Linked DNA regions of Nothobranchius furzeri. The protein of the gene in region 3 interacts with the protein of the main gene of each other region in a pairwise test. Links are inferred from orthologs where the notes say so. Each region holds a gene or a part of one and is shown on either strand. Other genes may lie near its edges.

What was found.
Region 1: the proteins of mid2 (region 3) and kifc3 interact in binary tests that used the Homo sapiens proteins (3 or more experiments, as listed by UniProt). The two-hybrid records come from large-scale screens. The link is inferred for Nothobranchius furzeri from reciprocal best matches to the Homo sapiens genes MID2 and KIFC3.
Region 2: the proteins of mid2 (region 3) and mfap1 interact in binary tests that used the Homo sapiens proteins (3 or more experiments, as listed by UniProt). The two-hybrid records come from large-scale screens. The link is inferred for Nothobranchius furzeri from reciprocal best matches to the Homo sapiens genes MID2 and MFAP1.

Annotation. Positions count from the first base shown.
Region 1 is NC_091749.1:65,919,415-65,923,884, reverse strand, and holds the start of kifc3 (kinesin-like protein KIFC3), read right to left. Parts: upstream 3,046-4,470; 5' UTR 2,911-3,045; coding exon 2,719-2,910; intron 1-2,718. UniProt on the Homo sapiens protein: Minus-end microtubule-dependent motor protein. Involved in apically targeted transport. Required for zonula adherens maintenance.
Region 2 is NC_091749.1:30,004,072-30,008,521, reverse strand, and holds the start of mfap1 (microfibrillar-associated protein 1), read right to left. Parts: upstream 3,046-4,450; 5' UTR 2,931-3,045; coding exon 2,849-2,930; intron 2,228-2,848; coding exon 2,011-2,227; intron 1,932-2,010; coding exon 1,781-1,931; intron 1,689-1,780; coding exon 1,501-1,688; intron 1,421-1,500; coding exon 1,151-1,420; intron 1,062-1,150; coding exon 902-1,061; intron 605-901; coding exon 515-604; intron 19-514; coding exon 1-18. Other genes in the region: hddc3 (guanosine-3',5'-bis(diphosphate) 3'-pyrophosphohydrolase MESH1), read right to left, coding at 3,785-3,939. UniProt on the Homo sapiens protein: Involved in pre-mRNA splicing as a component of the spliceosome.
Region 3 is NC_091741.1:89,375,875-89,380,393, forward strand, and holds the start of mid2 (probable E3 ubiquitin-protein ligase MID2), read right to left. Parts: upstream 3,190-4,519; 5' UTR 3,053-3,189; intron 1-3,052. UniProt on the Homo sapiens protein: E3 ubiquitin ligase that plays a role in microtubule stabilization. Mediates the 'Lys-48'-linked polyubiquitination of LRRK2 to drive its localization to microtubules and its proteasomal degradation in neurons.

The sequences.
Region 1 (4,470 bases), on a different chromosome or scaffold from region 3:
AGTGGGACTGACCCTGATGTCCACGCGATATTGCAGAGCCGCGTCAGCTAACACAGCCCCACAACATCCAGAGCCTAAAGGAACTCCGGGCGGATCTCATCCACCCCTGGAGCCTTGCCACAGAGGAGCTTTTTAACCACCTCAGTGACCTCAGGACCAGAGATTTGAGAGGCCAACCCAAAGTCCTCAAACTCTGCTTCCTCACTGGAAGACGTTTCAGTGGGATTGAGGAGGTCTTCGAAGTATTCTGCCCACTGATCCACAACGTCCTGAGTCAACACATTCTCACACCCAAGGCGTCAAAATATGACGCGTGTGATCAGGCCTCAATATATGACGATTCGGGATGCCCTAGCGCGTCAGGAGACGATGATCAGGGACACGCTAGGACACGTGGCTCTGCTGGCGTCACTGTTTGACGCGGGCGGTCATACGGACATTATTCAACTATTTAACCTTCCCCTCACCCCAATCCTAACCCTAACCTTAAGGTCCATAAACTGTGACCTTAAGGTTAGGATTGGGGTGAGGGGAAGGTTAAGTAGTTCACAAGTAGTTCTAATGTCCGTCTCAGCACCAGCGTTGGATACCGAGCTCTGGGACGCTGCGTCAGCAGTTTCTCCCTGATCGTCGTCTCCTGACGCGCTGGGGCGTCCTGAATCGTCATATATTGAGGCTTGGTCACACGCGTCATATTTTGACACCTTGGATGTGAGAATGTGTTGCCTGAGTAGAGGTCAGCAGCACACCGTCCCCACTATAGATATTGTTGGTAGCGCACTGCTTCTCCCCCCAAGGCGCCGGATGGTGGACCACAATCTCATCGAAGCCGTATGGAAGTCTTGCTCCATGATCTCACCAAACTCCTCCCATGTCTGGGTTTTTGCCTTGGCGACCACCCGAGCTGCGTTCCGCTTGGACTGCCGGTACCCGTCAGCTGCCTCTGGAGTCCCACAGGCCAAAAAGACCTGATAGGACTCTTTCTTCAGCTTGACATCATCCCTAACCGCCAGTGTCCACCAGCGGATTCGGGGGTTTCCACCACGACAGGCACCGACGATCCTGCGACCACAGCTCTGGTCGGCCGCCTCAACAATGGAGGTATGGAACAGAGTCCATTCAGACTCAATGTCCCCCGCCTCCCCCGGAACATTTTGGAAGTTCTGTCGGAGGTGGGAATTGAAGCTCCTTCTGACAGGAGACTCTGCCAGACGTTCCCAGCAAACCCTCGTGATGCGTTTGGACCTGCCTGCTCTGACCGGCATCCTCCCCCACCAACTGAGCCAACTCACTACCAGGTAGTGGTCAGTTGACAGCTCCACCCCTCTCTTCACCCGAGTGTCCAAGACATGCGGCCGCAGGTCAGATGAAACAACAACAAAGTCGATCATCGAGCTGCGGCCTAAGGTATCCTGTTGCCAAGAGCACATATGGACACCTTTATGTCTGAACATGGTGTTCATTATGGACAATCCATGACTGGCACAGAAGTCCAATAACAAAACACCACTCAAATTCAGATCGGGGGGCCGTTCCTCCCAACCACACCTCTTCAGGTCTCACTGTCGTTGCCCACATGAGCGTTTAAGTCCCCCAGCAAAACGAGGGCGTCACCGGAGCGAGCGCTTTCCAGCACCCCCTCCAAGGTCTCCAAAAAGGGTGGGTAGTCTGAACTGTAGATTGGTTCATAAGCACAGACCACAGTCAGAACCCGTCCCCCCACACGTAGGCGGAGGGAGGCTATCCTCTCATTCACAGGGGTAAACCTCAATGTACAGGCACCAAGATGGGGGGGCAACTAGTATGCCCACCCCTGCTCTGCGCCTCTCAGTGGGAGCAACTCCAGTGTGGTAGAAAGTCCAACCCCTCTCAAGGAAAATGGTTCCAGAGCCAGAGCCATGCGCTGAGGTGAGTCCGACTATATCTAGTTGGAACCTCTCAACCTCACACACCAACTCAGGCTCCTTCCCCACCAAAGAGCTTCTGTAGCCGAGGATCAGACCGACAAGGTCCCCGCCCTCGACTACCACCCGTCACACACTGCACCCGACCCCTTTGGCCCATATCTATTAAACCTAAAATGTTTTTTGAACCAGGCTGTAAACATGTTTATTTCTGCTGTGAAATTAGCATTTTTTACATGGGAGTCAACGGGAACTTGCTCTGCTCTGGTGCCAGCCCCTAGCAGATGAGGGTGGAACTGCAATTTTTGCCACTCCTTGTTGGCTTCAAAAAATTCAGACTAAAATGGCCCTTCGTGCAGAACCCAGCACAGAACCAGCTGCCTAGATCACTTGTTCTGGAAACCAGAAAAAATAAAATTAAAACAGCTAAAAATATACTCACACATGCGCAAACTTGCTCAACAAAAAGACAAGGCTACGCAGACCGATTAGGCATGATTGATGCAGCTCTTGAATTTGGACACTTATGGTGAAGTGTCCGGCCAAAGGACACAACTACGATCGAAACGCAGTTGGGGTTTGAACCGGCTACAGGGCGAACTCCTAACCCTTGAGCCACCGTCACTAAGTGGAGAACTCAGCTGTGAACTGGGACCAGCTCACTTCAAACTGGCCAGACTGAGAAGTAAGGCTGCACAAGGGTTCATGGAAGTTCTGAGGACAAAGACCATTTTCTGTCTAACACCCCCTTTTCTATCCTGATTTGCAGAAATGTTTAAAATCTCAGAATATTTCCAGACCTTGACCTCCTCACCTCAACTGGCCTCCTGCTGGATGAGGAGACACATCGTACACGGACCCCCTTCCTCTTCCTCACAGCCTTCACGCCACTTTGTCCTGGTCCATTAGCATCACCTCCATGCTCTGAGCTACCTTTGAGTTGGTTGTTGCTCCTCCTGAGGAGGCTGTAGAGTGTGAGCAAAACCAGCATGGAGAGGACCAACATGTTCCTGTCCCACAGGTGAGCTCAGCCTGGGACAGGATCCAGGTGAGTGAGGCACACAGGTGTCCCGTAATCCTGTCGCTTTCTCATTTATTCCTCAGCTGTCTCACCTCTGTCCTGGTCCCGTCCCTACCCTGCCAACGCTGTACTTCCACAGAACTGATAAGAACACATGAACCTTGTCCTCCTCTCTGTTATTGTTGTCTAATCCACAGGTAATCCTCCATTAAAACTTTAATTCTTTATTTTTACCTCAAGCTCGGAATGACTGTTGCCTGTGATGATGTCAGGAGAGGTGCATTCAGGCTTCAAGTCCTTCGAGTCATTTTGAATTTGGCTTCAACAGTTTCCCCCACTGTTGTTTAACAAGGCGGACAAAAGCCTAAATATTTTACACGTATACTTGATTTACCATAACTCTGCAAAGGTTTCAGCCATCAGAAAAATTCAAGCGTTCTTTTTAAAAGAGAAGTCGCACTTTTAAGTACACATTACAATAAAATGCATTACGCTGTTGCAGGAAGCCGGCTAATCAGAATGTCTCACATGCACAAGAGGGTAAGTGAGGGGCAGAAAATGAGCGAAACACACCCACAGCTAGGGCTGGGCAATAAATTGAAAATGTATCATCATCGAAATTTCTGACTCTTATCGAGATCATTGTCCCCATGTCAATAAATCTGATAATAAAAAAATGAAAAGATGTGTGCAGGTTGGCAACATTCATGTCCACCTCGAGTCTCGTAAAAATGTGACTCAACGTAATACATGTGACAGCCCCATCTAGTGGACAACTTTTGTTTCTACACATACCTGTAGTTAACGTCCATTTATCGCCATTATGGTGAACTCCTCAATATATCGTGATATTGATTTTAGGCCGTATCGCCCAGCCCTACCCACAGCTATAAATATCATTGGCCAAATTGCACCCTTAAAAAATAAATAAAATTGTTTTCATTCCCTAATGCGCTGCTTTGTCAGCTCAAGTGTCTGACTGCTGCAACCAAGTGGGTCTCTATTGCCTCCATTACTGGGTCTCACATGGCGTAGCGTCCACGTCACCAAATGCATTACTCTGTTGACTCGGCGTCAAAATCCCCAAACTCTGTTCCATCTACGGTTGTTGTAATCACTCTAGTCATGACAAGCACAAATGTTTTTTTTCGTGTCCCAAAAGTAGTGAGCCACAAAAAACCCAATTTAAAAAATCTTACTGAAAGAGGACGACAGAAGTGGACCTCCGGCTAAAGCCTGATTCATGCTTCTCCGTCAGCTCCAAAAGGGAGAGACACGCACGCACGGGCGGAGATGTTTTGCCCTCATACTTCTCCGTCTCCTGGGGAGTGTTGCAAAGCAATTCCCCACCAGGACAACAGAGGGCGTAGCGCTGTTCTGTGGTATCTTGTCATGTATCCGGTCCAAGATAGTGTGTTTATATTGTTTTTTTTTTGTATGTAAGAGACTTTTTAGCACAGACAAATTTGTCTCTCATCCTCCTCCACCTCTTCATGCACTCGCCACCTCTAAACCCACGTTTCCTGTCATTTCCGTTCACAAATA
Region 2 (4,450 bases), on a different chromosome or scaffold from region 3:
CCGACCAAAGTTTTTGACCTAATGGGAAGAAAATAAGTTACAATTGTGGGGATGTCACCTTAATGTGCACAAAAAGTGTCATTTCTACCACGTTCACACCAGTGACACACACAAAGGCTACATGTACAGCGGGACTGAAGCACATTTAGATGACAAGCTAGTTCAAAGGTCATGAGAAATTCAATCTTTTTTCCAAAGATGAACTTTCAAACCCCACCTGTGGTCCAAAAAAACAGCAGGGATGCATGACATATCGGCATCAATATCTATGTTTTACATATCGGTATCGGTCTGATAAGGACAACTGGACCGATATTAACTGAATATATATAAAAAGAAAGACGTCCAAAATTTCTGCTTACATAACTTTAAGTCTCCATAAAATCTGCTGACTTCAGAAGCATAAATGTCAGCCTGTATATGTCGCATCGACAAATATCGATTATCAGCCATAACAATATCGACATCAGCCCAAAGTTTCATTTCGTTGCACCCCAAGACGAAAGGGTCTCACCTGCATGACTTTGGGTAGGATGGTTTTGTTGAAGTGATCCTCCAGTGTAGGAGCGCTGAAGTCTCTCTTGTAAACATCCTCCTCCTCATCCTAACACACAAAAACCACACAATAAATCCCTACACGTATAACCTGTTGGTGACCCATCACAAACGATCACCTCCTTCAGAATCTGGTGGGATTTCCTGTCATTTACAGACATCTAAATAATAAAGGTGTTATAAGAAAGGGTACGCCGTTTTTATCACACAATAATTGTCAAAGAAAAGACACTGCAGCTGTAAATGAAGATTTTAGGAAAATCTCTTGGTTGTCTTAAAAATTTGCTTTTTTATGAATCCTGGTGACAATCCCGTGAAAAGGACTCTTGTGTCTGCTGGGACTCACCATGAAGAAGGCTCCTCTGTGGTAGTATTTCTGCAAGAACTTGTATTTGCCTTTGGAGGCTTTGTTGGTGACGACTTTGCCGCTGTTGCGTAGCTCCGCCCTGCGTTCCTCTTCCGTCATATTGTGGAATCTGTCAATTTCACCCTTCTCTCTCTCCATTCTGACAACAAAACACCACAAATGACCGTCCTGAAGAGAACTGCATCACTCTTTCACCATAAATCCTTTGGAATCCTGCAGTTTACTTACGCTTCCCGGGCCTCTCGGTCTCTCTTGATGCGTTTCAGCTCTCGGACCTTCCAGGCTTCATATTCCTCCTCTTCATTCTCCCCGTCAGTGTCCAGAGCTTCCAGTGCAGCCAGCGAGCGCCGGTTCTCTTCAAACTCCTTCTTAGCCTCCTCCTCAACAATCTTGAGGGTGTAGCGCCGCCGATCCTCTGCCTGCCTCTTGGCCTCGGCCTCCAGCTCTCGCTGCTTCAGCTCCTCGGCTTCGCGCTCTGCCACAGTGACTCTGTCCTTTCTGCAGTGCAAAAAAAAAACATTTGAGCTAGTGTTCTGAATCTGGAATTTTTATTGAAACATTTTTAGTTTAGTTCTCACTTGCGAATAAAAACAGGCTTAAGTCTCGGCTCTGCTTCATCCTCACTGTCTGTGTACTCCTCATATTCTGACTCCGACTCAGACTCCTCTCCTGACTTCCCCTCCTCCTCCACCTCCATCACTTCCATCTCTTCATTTTTCCTCTCCATTGCACGCTGGCGCATCATTGCTCGCCTCCTCTCAATTTCCTGGTCACAAGCACGATGAGCAAATTAATAATTTGTTCAAAATGCAACAAAAAAGTTAAAAGGATTTTATTTTTTTGGTGCACAATTGCTACCTCATCATCCACTTCTTCCTCCTCTTCCTCCTCCTCCTCCTCTTCATCGTCGCTGCTCTCCTGATGCTCAGGGTGCCATGTGCCTTCATCAGAGTCCTCACTGCTCTCAGCAACAACTTCAGGCTCTACGATCTGTCTGTGTCTTGCGAGCCTGAGCACAAACAAACGGGAAACATTTTGACTCAAAATGTTGACAGAATTTGAGTTTAATCAGAAAAACTGAGTGATACCTCTCCTCCACGTCCTCAGAAGTTCGATTGAGCAAACGTTTGAGACGTGGGTCATTCACATCTTCTTCCTGCTGCTCTACCTCCAGCTCCATTTCCACTCCCTTTTTAGCAAACTTGAATTCCTCCTCCTCTTCATCTGACGACTCCATGGGGGCATAGTCTGGACGTTTACCTGACACATACCTCTTCACCTTCACCTTCTCCATGGAGATCTCACCTACATTGTGTACAGAAAAGGGCATGATTATATACACTTCCTCAAGCTTAGTACAAGAGTATTTAAACAGGAAAAAACACTCAACCATAAAAAACGTAAAACAATATGTTGCAGATTTATTTAAATTAAATCAGACAGATACAGCATACCCCTCGCCCTTGGGAGTAATAAAATGACCCCAAAACTCAGACGTAAGCTTAAAACAACGAGTTAATGTCTCAGACAAGCTCTTATTAGGTAGACAGATAAATGACGTTACAAAAGCCCATGAATACTTTTAAGGGACTTAACAGATGACTTATCTAACACGTAAAAAAGTTGAAAAGCTATTTAAAATATATTTTTTCCAGTTGTTTATAAACATTTGTGTTGGATCATCAAAGATCTTGAATCTTGTTTAAAAAAATGTAAACTGTCAGTTGTTCCTCCATTTCTAGATTTTAAACTGTTACTCCCACCACACACACACATTTTACTCTCTTAAAAAACCAACATCACAAAATTGCTTTTCAGCTTGTTTTGCTGAGTAATGAATTAGTTATTTAGAAACTTAACTCGCGTTTTTTGACGCTACATAACAGATGCTACATTAGCATGGAAGCTAACCCTAACACGATTCACCTTTCTCATTCCGGATGGGCACGGCTCCTGCCGTGGACTGGATCGGTGGGAGCTTCATGTTGACGCTTTCGTGACTAGACATGACTGCCCGGTCAACAACACAAAACTATGGACGTGAAATAAAAGGATGTTGCGCTTAGTCTCAACAATCTCTTGGCTGCTTCGTTTCAAAACCGGAAGTTGAACAACTTCCGCGAACGGACAGGAAGTGCATTTGTTCCGAAGAGAAAAACCAAAAACTCAAGAATCAAATGAACAGGAAAGCGTCTCACATTAAATTGTTTTTACAAAACTGACATTTATGCATTTTTATAAACGTGTTTTCTAAATGACCATCAAGCTAATTAAAATCGATTAAATTGTAAATTGTAAATCACCGCCCCTTGGTGGTTTTTATGTTTCATGCATGATAGGCCTTCAAGTCAAGCTTTTTTTCATTATGATCAGAAACCCGATTTCACCCTAACAAATATAACCAACATCAAACATTCCGTTTTTTTTTTACAAAAATGACAGGCAGCTTAACAAACTACATTTCTTCTGCTCCAGGCAAGTTCAATTTACTAGCACAATAAATAAGTGCACGCCCTGACCCTTAACAGAGTAATAGGATGGACTGAGGTTGGCTTGTAACTTTGGCATCATGGTTTATTTAAAAACAAAAGGCTAATCTGACTGACTTTCTAATAAGCAACTCTTCACTTATCTAAAAAAAAAACTTTGTGTCTGTGTGAAAATTATTTGAAAGGTTTGATGACAATGAACCAGACTTATAAAAGAAATGTCATATGTTTTTATTCTTTTAATTTTCTGTTCTGGTTTGCATGACTTTAAAAATTTGACAATAATACAAATGACAGTGCAGCAGACAGTACATTCACACTTCTTTCTTTTTTTTCTGAAGCTCACTCATAAAGGTGCATTTGAGTTGTCATTTTAACAGTATAGACGTGTGGCTTTGCCATCAGAGTTGAATGCCTCTCTGAACAAGTCCTCCAGCTTCCCCTCCAGGGCAGAGTTAGTTCCTTTCAGGCCTTTCACCACCTCAGAGGCCCAAACAAAGTACTCCTGGACCCGCTCAGTGTTCCAGCCTGCCAGGCAAACAAAAGGTAGACAACATGATAAACACCATTATTTAGGGAGGCAATAATTAGAGAAGCAGCTACAATAAACAAGTCAGTGTAGGTAGTGATCAGAGCAGATCAGTTTACGTGATAACACAACACAGGGTCAGGTGACTGAAACAAAGCAACTGCAGTGGGCAGGTCTACGATTGGCATTCATGAGTCTGACCGTGGAGGGGAAGAAACTGTTCTTGTGGCTAGCGATTCTGGTCTGAATGGATCAGAGCCTCCTGCTAGGTGGGAGCGAGTATAATGGGCCATTCCCATCTGTATCGGGTCAGCCTGGGCCGGGTAGCGTAGGTTGTTTACATATCTGGGTGGCCTGGTATTTTTCCGGGCCAACCAAGGCTCATTCTCAGCCCTCTTCTCGAGGGGGTCTACTTCAGGCCAACACACCCACTGCTGACAGCAAATTCACACCTTCCATTAGAGCAAGCCTCTGATTGGTGGGTAGAATCAGCCCACATGGGCTTAAGAC
Region 3 (4,519 bases):
AGAGGAGTGCACATGGATCATTCCGTTACTGTCCATCATCCATAACTGCGAAGAAGGGTGAGGTGTGGACTAGGGCTGGGACGACTCATCCCAAAATACGTCCACGTAAAAAATGTGCATCGATGCGTCATCACGTTCAAAACAAACACGGCAGCAGCGAGTAGCGACAACATGAGTGAGGCGGTCGGCGAAAATCACTCACAGTTCAAAAGTATGGGTCTACTTCAACAGAAAAGGAAGCGATTCAGTCATTTACCAGCTTTGTAAAATGGAAATGGCCTATGACGAAACCACGACGGCCATTCACCAGCACATCAAACAACGGCATCCAGGAGCAGTGCCTTCAAACAAAAATACATCGTAAGTTCTCAAATTTTAACGCTGTTATTTACCATCCAAACACCCCCACGTAGACATGCACTCACTCACACACACGAGCAGACCCACGCACTCACAGTCTCATTCACTCACTCACACACACTGAGAAAAACATTCAACCTCAACTCATTGAAGCTGCTATAGCGGTAACAAATAGCAGCAGCTGTTACCTGTTTTGTTGGTTTTTATTTGTGGCTCATGCTGGCAAAATAATTCTGAATGCGCACATGCTGATTATGAGAGTTGCCGAGAGCCGAAAATGTGAGAGAGCGCAAATTGGCCAAAGTAAAAATGTTAAAGATAATGTCACGGCCGTCGTAGACACTATTCCAACATTGTTGAAGTTCTTGCTAAAGCAAAATGACAATGAACTCTTGATTGTAAAGTGTAATACCTCATCCTGTTTGAACTTATTTTCTATACTTCATGCTCCTCCAGATTGTTGATCATATAGATATAAGGTGCGTCATCTACTACTACAACAACTTTATTTTAGAATTTTTTTTAATAAAATGTGTTCAAATGAAGAAATGTGTGTTTATTTCATTGAGATACATACATTAGTAATACTCAAATTGCTATAGAAGTCAAATAATGGGGAAATAATCGATAATCTAATCGAATTGAAATCTAATTAAGTTGACAGATTAGTTAGAAGCATCGAAAAAAGTATCGCTAGATTAATTGATTACAAAAATAATCCTTTTGTCCAGCCCTAGTGTGGACACTTGGCCTTGCAAAGGACCAAGCTAGGCCTTGCAGCTCAGAAACAGACCCTAGCACCTTCTTAGGGTTCTACAACCCCCCAAGGTACTTCACAACACAATCAGTCATTCACCCATTCACACGCTGATGACGATGAGCTAAAATATAGCCATAGCCACCCTGGCGCTCACTGAGGGAGGCGAGGCTGCCAAACACAAGCACCACCGGTCCCTCTGACCACCACCAGCAGGCAAGGCAGGTTAAATGTCTTGCCCAAGGACACAACAGCAGCAATCTCTGGTCAGAGCCGGGATTTAATCTGCAGCCTTCTTATTACTGGACAACCCGCTCCACCACATGAGCTACTGCTGTTGTGTATTTTATGTGTGTATTTTATGTGTGTATTTTACATATTCATAACCTATAAGTAGTAAAGCATCTTTCTTTAAGCGTTATCATCTCAAGTTAACAATCAAAAACTCAAATAATCAAAACAAATAAAAACATGTACTTTTTTAAAATCTTACATTGTTTAATATTTACATGTTTCTTTGGTAAAAGGCTGATCCTCCTTTGCTTTGTCCGAGAACAGAGTTCCAGCTTCAGAAACAAACACAGAGATAAACAGATACCTGGCTGAACTATTCTAGGAAGTCAATGCTTCAACTGCAATGATTTCCAACCCTCTGTCACAACTATAATCATCCCAGCGTGTAGACACCAACACCCATTCCTCCCCACAGAAGGGAAAAAACCCTCACTGCTCATGTCATCATTATAAAGTCTTAATAATTATCATCTGAGGGTGCAGTGGGAGAGCGCAGGAGTGAAAGAAAGCCTGAAAACGAGAGAAAGAGGCAGTAAATGGATAGAGTGAGAAAGTAGGCAGCACCCTGTGGGTGCCTGACGGATGAGGGTGTCAGCTGTATTCACCCAACTAGCAGCCTTGTCTCAGAGAGTGTCAAGCCCCATGCACAAAGACCTGTCTCATTAAAGGCTGTGATCATCCAGCAACAAGAGAGCAAGAACGATCGGGCCCATAAATGACTTTTTAGAAGCTGGCGAAACACCAGTTCATTAAGCACAACGCTCTACTCCATGGCTGATCGACATTGACCACCCATATGGAATGTGTCCTCTTCACATTAGGAAAAGTTTATTTAATAGAGAATTCATCATCTAAACATAAGAAATAGAGAGAAGCAACACTCGACATTGGACCCCGCTTCCCTGCATTTGTATTGTTTAAAATTGGTGCATTATTAATGAGGGGGGGGGAATGTTAGACTCAGCTTTTTGGAGGCCAAACTCAAACCAGCTTTTGTCTCCTGTCACCAGCAGCATTACTTCAACAGTTAAAACACTGGAGCCAACACAAAAAGGTAAAAATCCTATTTCAGTGATCAACTACTTCATCATCCAATAACATCTATAGTTTTGTTATTTACATAAAAATACAACATAAATTTGACAGTTTTGACAGTAAAAGTCAATAAGTATCATCCACAATGCGCTAACAGCAGGGTTCAGCTCAGGTCATGTCATCTCAATCAATACACAATGTCACTATTGATCAGTGCAGGGCACTTGGGGGAAAACGATGAATAGAGGTTGCTAAATACATCCTAATATCACTGTAGACTATCTAACACATGCGCAAAGAGATAATTACTACTAGATGTAAAATTTACCACTAATGAGAAATTTGCTTGAGTACATTTGCTGATTAATCTGAGACGTTTTTCTGCATCAGTTGTGTGCACTCACACACACACACACACACACACACACACACACACACACACACACACACACACACACACACACACACACACACAAACACACACACACACACACACACACACACACAAACACACACACACACACACACAAACTGCTTACCCGTCCAGCTCCGGTTCTCTCAAGCCCAAACACCCCGAGCCCCCATAGGAAGAGACAGAAAGCCTACCTCGGTCCCCGGTGACAGCTCTCCCTCTGTGTTTCTGGAGGTCGACTTGTGGCAGGCGCTGACAGGATGGTAGTTTTCGTGAGCAGAGAAGTTTCAACGAGGCAGTGCCACAGTGATCACACGCGTTGTGTCAGCGTATCAGCAGACACCGCGTGACAACGCCCCAAAACAACAACAAAACAACTGATGTGGATCTTCTGGACCCGCTTCTGAAGGATGTTGCTTTTCCAACTCAGCTGTGCGCAGCTGCGCGCTTCCTCCTCCTCTCCCTCCTGACGCGGTTCCCCCAAACCAAACGAGGGCACGTGACCAACCCACAGGGGACTGGAATAGATTTCCTCACCCCTCCTCCCCCTCCAACAGTAGCAGCTGGGATCAGTTTCACCGCTGCTCCAGTGGCCGCGCAACAAACCCGAGCCGTGCGCACCCACACTCTTCTTCCACACATCATCCCGCCTCAGCGTCTGTCGCTGTCAGGATTATAGCTTCAAATTTAAAATGATCAGTTGAACAAATAAAGTGAATAAGAAAAAAAACATTTTTTGGCTTGTAAAGTTGGATGAAACGAACTGATCACGATTCCGATTTAAGCGTCCTAGAAGAAACTTTATCTTTATAATAAAACTGTTAGTTTTACTGGGTCAAGTGGCTCCATAGAAACAGCATCGATGTTTGAACCTATTCAGTAACAGATGAGTGAGGTTGAGACCCAAACAAGTGATACACTAATATCATCACCATCCATAGCCCCTGCGTCACAGCTTCACCTGGAAAAGGAGAGAGCGGAACGGGAAGACTGTCAGGAATTCTGACAGTTTTTGAAACCATTTTTTCAGTTAAAATTAAACGTTGCCTATCGAATTGATAAAGAGGACAAAATATAAGAATCTCAGAAGAATAACAACTAGCTGATTAGTACACTGCCCAGCAAAAGGCAAGGCAGCTTTATTTAGAGCACATTTCAAACACAGAGGCAATTCAATGTGTTTTACAATTATCAGGACATGGTATGAAAACACATAAAAACACAAAGTAAAATACACACAGATAGAATTACAGTTTAAATGATAAATGACCCACACTTGTACAGCACCTCTCAGAGTAAGGACTCCAAAGCGCTTTACACTACAATGTATCATTCATCCATTCACACACACATTCATACACTGATGGTGATGAGTTACGATGTAACCACAGCTGCCCTGGGGCGCACTGACAGAGGCGAGGCTGCCAAAAACAGGTGCCACCGGTCCCTCCGACCACCACCAGCAGGTAAGGTGGGCTAAGTGTCTTGCCCAAGGACACAACAGCAGAATTCTCTGTCCAGAGCCGGGATCAAACATGATACCTTTCGATTACTGGACAACCCGCTCAACCTGTTGAGCTACTGCTGCCCTTTGGAGCTAAAGGAAAAAAAGTTGCCACCAAAAGAAAATGTTGCACAACCTAATACTTTGTTGCACAACC